Linked DNA regions of Xenopus tropicalis. The protein of the gene in region 1 interacts with the protein of each later gene in a pairwise test. Links are inferred from orthologs where the notes say so. Each region holds a gene or a part of one and is shown in the gene's direction. Other genes may lie near its edges. The genes, in order: fam92a and cby1.

Region 1 (3,184 bases):
TGCTTGTGTGGCTCACCAACAGTTTTTACATTTGAGTGTGGCTGACGAGTAAAAAAAGGTTGGGGATCCCTGGCTTAAAACCTATTGTTTATACATATGTATATGTTTTCACATAGAAAGTGCCTTTTAAGATTATATCTTGTGTGTTTTCTGGTATAGAAGAAATGTAGCCTCTTAATTTTAGTTTTTAGGTGTAAGCCCTTCTAAAATTTCTAGCTAACTGTGAAACTGCAGTGATTCCCATGTACTCTACTGAAATCTCTCTAAATAGAGATTCAGCTTTTTATAAAGTATTGATCAACTTTGTGAATGTTTTTGAATGTCTGAATAAGAGTAACATTGATATTTATCATTTCATAGGAGGATCTCAAAGTGACCTTGACTGCTAGGAACCGGGAAGCAAAACAAATGGCTCAGCTAGAGAAAACTCGCCAGAGAAATCCATCAGATCGACAAATTATAGTATCCTTTTAATGCCACATAAAGGGCAAAATAAATATATTATGCTTAGACTTTATTAACATATACTACCATTTTCAATACTTTTTCTTTTTACAAGATAAGGCAAGCTTTCTAAATGTGTAATCCCAGTTCTGTAACAAGATATATGGCTCTAAACATTTTCAAAACACTACACCAGAAGTAAGCATGTTTATATTGGCCAAAATTGACCCTAACAGTAAGATGACCCCAGAAAACCATATAGTTTTAGAAAGTAAGCCGTTCTAACAAAATATGTAAATGTATATTTTTCTCCAATCTGCAAATATTTGCTAAATCGTTTTGTGAAAATATAAATACCAGGGCAGGGTTGGTTACTTATTATGCTTGGCATTACAAACCTGTGGCTTGTAGAAACCATAATTTTTACTTGCAAAACAAGCAATGAAGAATGCAGTTTTATGCATAATTCAGTAAAACCAATCAAAGCAAAATCATTACATAGGGGCAGATTTATCAAAATATACGTTTAGAGCTTAATACATAAATACTTGCACATTTTCTATTCATTCCCATGGGATTTTTAAAAGTGTATTTATCAGTGGGTAAAAGTTAGAACTCACCACTTGATAAATAAGCTTCTACAAATACATAGTTACATAGGGTTGAAGAAAGACCAGAGTCCATCAAGTTCAACCCTTCCAAGTAAACCCAGCACACACAACCTATACTTAACAATCTATACACTAACATACATAAACTATATATACAACCATTAAAACTAACTGTAGATATTAGTATCACAATAGCCTTGGATACTATGCTTGTTCAAGAACTAATCCAGGCCCCTCTTAAAGGCCATAGAAAAGTCTCCCTGTGCAATGCCTGTTTTACATGGAGAGAAAAAGGTATCAACAGCAATTTGGAACTGAAAAGCCAATAAAAATTGTATATGTGTAAATTCTGAGCAACTTTTCAGTTAGTCTTCATTATTTGTTTTTCATATTTTTTAAACTATTTGCCTGCCTCTTGCCAGATTTCAAATGGGGGGTCACTGAACCCTGAGGCAAAAAAATATTGCTCTATGAAACTTTTTATTTTATTGTTATTGTTACTTTATATTACTTATTCTTCTATTTAGGCCCTCTCCTATTCAAATATCAGTCTTTCATTTAAACTACACCCTGGCTGCTAAGGTAATTAGGAACCTAGAAACCAAATAGCAGCTGGAACTTCAAGCTGGAGAGCTGCTGAACAAAAACCTGAAATAATTAAAAAAAAAAACTACAAATAATAAAAAATACATCATACCCAACCCCTTTGAAACTTGTTTTATAAGTCATAAGTAAAAGCTGCTATGTGAATCAAAATGTTTAGGGGTAGCGCCACATGCCTGCTCTTTTCCTACTCCGCTGGGGAAATTCTATCCTAGGGACTGTTTGTTCCCACACTCTGCTTATTTCTTAGAGGCAGGGGTATGACACAGAAGCAGATCACAGGCTGTAAAGTCTTATGATCTCCTTCTGCACCCATGCTGATGAGTTCTTTTAGCCACAGGATGTAGATTCTGTGACCTGTAGCACTTAGTGTTCATCAGTGGTTTCCTGCTGCACATTTGTATGTTTGTAGTAATGTATAACAAAGTTGATCGCCTAACAAAAGCAATACATTATTTACAATGTATAGAAACTATCCAGTGCACTCTTTGCTCCGTAGCATTCAATTTAGTGTGCCTCTTAGTTTCTTTTCATGTGCTCCTGTATAAGAAAGATCAGAAACATTTGTGGTTTATTAACTTTAGGAATAGTTTAACATTTGTTTTTTTTTTCTGCTTGGAAATTGGTGTTTGCTTTTTATTTTTCCTTTACACATTTACAGTCACAGGTAGAAATATTTCTAAGAAAATAATGGAAGCAAAACTACAAAGCTGGCATAATTATCCAGGAGCAGAGGACTAACGGACTTTTGGAAGATGATATTTGGTCCAAAGATTAATATTCATGATGAACATATGGGACCAATGCAAACAACTTTAGACGCAGCCCCTCACATATTATTTCATGCAATTCCCTGCAAGTGTGCAAGAACAATGTGAAAGCTGGCTATGCTGATAAACAGTGAGGGGCAGTTTGCCTCTTTTTGAGAAAAAAAAAAAAAACAGCGGACAAAACAACCCAGATTTCATATTGGTGCTATTAGCCTTAAATGCAATAGGACACATGGGTTATGTAATAAAAGGCACTAACTTTGCCTTGGAGCAGTAACCCATAGCAACCAGTCAGCATGTAGAATTGGTTAAAGGGGACATACACCCTTTCACAGCAGTGTTGTTCCACTGGACTACAGCTGCTGATTAACTTTAAAAAGTCAATCAGCCCAGGATAGTTTTCAGCAAGGCAGGCCTCCACCAATTTCCCCCAGCATTGCTGGTATTCACTACTCCTGGTTAGGTGTTTTTGACTTGGGGCATGTATAGTACAAAAGGTTTCTGAAGAGTTCTGTCCTGTGTATGTGACACGTCTAAAAGTCTTACCAAGGTGCAGGGGTGCCTGGAAAGCTGGGGGAAAATGGAGGTAACCTGCTCTTCTAAAAAATACCCTTTTGCCAGTGTGCTTTTAGAGATGAATCATGGTTTGGTAGAGGTAATATTCGAGTTGCTGGGGGGGGTGCCTAATAAGCAGGAACCTCCCAGTAACTAAAGTTTTGCTTGTCGTCAGCACTGCAGTAACATCACCCTTCTGAT
Region 2 (2,564 bases), on another chromosome or scaffold:
GTTGATACAGAGTTAAGGTATGTGGCAACTTTGGTCCCAGTGTACGTCACAACTCCCCCAGTAGAACAGTTAGAATTATTATTGTTATTTTAACACAAGTCTGTAGCTGTGACGCCATATGAAAAAAGCCACTGATTCTGCGCAGCTCAGCATTTTCTAATGAATGTTATTTTCTTTAAAGAATATCTGATGAGAAATGCTTTTCTTTTTGAGTAATTTGTTGACTTTTATTTTCTTTTTTTGTAGAGAACAAATCCTGGACACAACATTTTTTTCAGGCAAGATGCCCCTATTCGGGAACACATTCAGCCCCAAAAAAGTGCCACCAAGGAAATCGGCCTCCCTGTCTAATCTGCACGCGGTATGTCCCTTACATCTTGTGATAGCTTCTACCGTAGTTTACACCCTTACTTCCCTGTAAACAGAGGAGGCAGGAGTTTTAACCCTTAAACTCCCAGTTCTTCTGCACAATTAGTCAAGGATATGCAAAACATTTTAGTGTAAAACTTTGAATTTCTGAAAACCCTTTATTTTGCAAACCTGCTGCCTCTGTGTATGGGACCCTGTACCAGAAAAAGTGTAATAGGTTGAGGCACTGTGCGCACTGTCATGGCATGTGTGGCTCAAATGCACATATTGTGACCAGCATTTGCCTGTACAGTACCAGCATTTTAGGGGGATTTGCACTGTAGTTATTATTATTAACATTTATTTATAAATACAAGAGGTGAAGAAGGCCCTGTCCAAAAGAGCTTACAATCTACATTGGATTTCCATCACCAAAAACACCTTCTTAGCCATGATTCTAAGAGAGTTGTTTGCAGCTAAAGATGGTGTTCTTGTTGTTTATTCATGATTCCCTTTAATACAATGAACATTCCTTCTAGAATAAAACCATATAATTAAACTGTAAACAGTAATACTTTGAAGAATATAAACATAATATGGTTTGCAAAATTGACTACATTTATTTTTTCTTCCTAGCTGGATCGGACAACTAAAGAAGTTGAATTGGGTTTAGATTATGGTTCCCCAAGTATCAACATTGCAGGCCAGAGCTTAAAATTTGAAAATGGACACTGGATCACTGGTAATTTGTATTTTTGTTCTTATTGTTAAGTTTGAGGGATTTCCAGTTTGCATCTGAGTTGGATGTAGGCTTATGCTCTTTTCCTCCTAGTAGCCTAATCCAGGCCTGGTGCATGCCTGCGGGGCAAATGGGCTGACGGAGTACTGTATAGGAGCTAGGTGCAAGACATCTGGGGACAGATGAGATTGTCTGAAATTTTAGTGCAATACAATACTTTTGTAAATTTACACTACAAAATTCACTACATTTAAAAACCTTGCAAAAGACCACTACAGCAGCTTTAGTGAGCAGTCATTAGGTGCACTGGTGAATTTTAAAAAAAACAAAACTTTTTAACACCCCCCCCACAATGAAACTTTTTTTTTACATTTTTACACAAAAAAGGACTGTCACAGCCAATTATTTATATTTTATTGGCAGTTCATGGTGTTAGTGAGCCTTTCACTGATTTTATAGTTTTAATTCCCCATAAATTCCCAAACTTTGTAATAGAGGCCATGCTGAGTCCTGCTCCTTGTATACTGCTAAAAATGAAGGCCTTTGTCTTCATTTAATTGGTTCTTCCCTCCATTATTGCAGAGTCAGGGGGCACTGGATCACAGAGGGAGGTTCAAAGGCTGCGCAAGCGTAACCAGCAGCTTGAAGAAGAAAACAACCTGTTGCGTGTCAAAGTCGAACTCCTACTGGATATGGTAAGAGTGACATTGTCATCTCCGATGAACAATATTATGTTGCAGGTTACAGACAATTACAGTGGATTACATCTGATCTGAGGTGCAGATGTCCTTCAGTATCTAGAAAGTTTTTCTTGTAAAAAAGGGAGCCACAGGGTAGATTTTAATTATCTTATGTGAACATATGTAATGCAGTAGAATTCACTGAGGAGTGAATTGCTTTCACAAAGGATAGGGCAGGTGCTAGCTGAGAAAGACATGTCACCTCTTCCTCATAGGATGTTTTAGCTATCTAGTGAGATCAAAATCTTTTTCTTATTTTTATGTGCTACGATTAGATTTATAAAAGTGAAAAATGCAGTCACCCATTTCCCCTTATCAGATCATGTATGGGTTCATAGGCCTGCTAGAAAGTAGATGTGGCCACTTTCCTCAAGCAGTCATTCACTCAAAGGGTGCCACATTGCATTCTGTCTCTTTTGCCTGGAAGTCTAGAAGAGTCAAATCCAACATATTCCTACCATGTAATGAGAAGGTTATAAACGCTTAGGGAGAAGACACACTGGGCTACTAGTAGCAGCTACTTTTTCACGGCTATTAAACACCAGAAAATACCCTGCCATAGACAATACTGAGAATTGACTCTGCTAAAACACACATAGAGACAGGTATCAGTAAACGATCAGCATTGTCAATTTTAGCAGCCATGACAAGTAGCTGCTACAAGTAACTCTGTCTGTCTTCACCCTTAAGCTGGCCATACACACACATTTAGGGGCATATTTTTAATCATTGGAGAC

What was found.
Region 2: the proteins of fam92a (region 1) and cby1 interact in binary tests that used the Homo sapiens proteins (3 or more experiments, as listed by UniProt). The two-hybrid records come from large-scale screens. The link is inferred for Xenopus tropicalis from reciprocal best matches to the Homo sapiens genes CIBAR1 and CBY1.

What each region holds. Positions count from the first base shown.
Region 1 is NC_030682.2:127,981,825-127,985,008, forward strand, and holds the end of fam92a (protein FAM92A1), read left to right. Parts: intron 1-360; coding exon 361-462; intron 463-2,319; coding exon 2,320-2,349; 3' UTR 2,350-2,599; downstream 2,600-3,184. UniProt on the Homo sapiens protein: Plays a critical role in regulating mitochondrial ultrastructure and function by maintaining the integrity of mitochondrial morphology, particularly the organization of cristae.
Region 2 is NC_030680.2:120,458,551-120,461,114, reverse strand, and holds part of cby1 (protein chibby homolog 1), read left to right. Parts: intron 1-246; coding exon 247-361; intron 362-984; coding exon 985-1,090; intron 1,091-1,669; coding exon 1,670-1,782; intron 1,783-2,564. UniProt on the Homo sapiens protein: Inhibits the Wnt/Wingless pathway by binding to CTNNB1/beta-catenin and inhibiting beta-catenin-mediated transcriptional activation through competition with TCF/LEF transcription factors.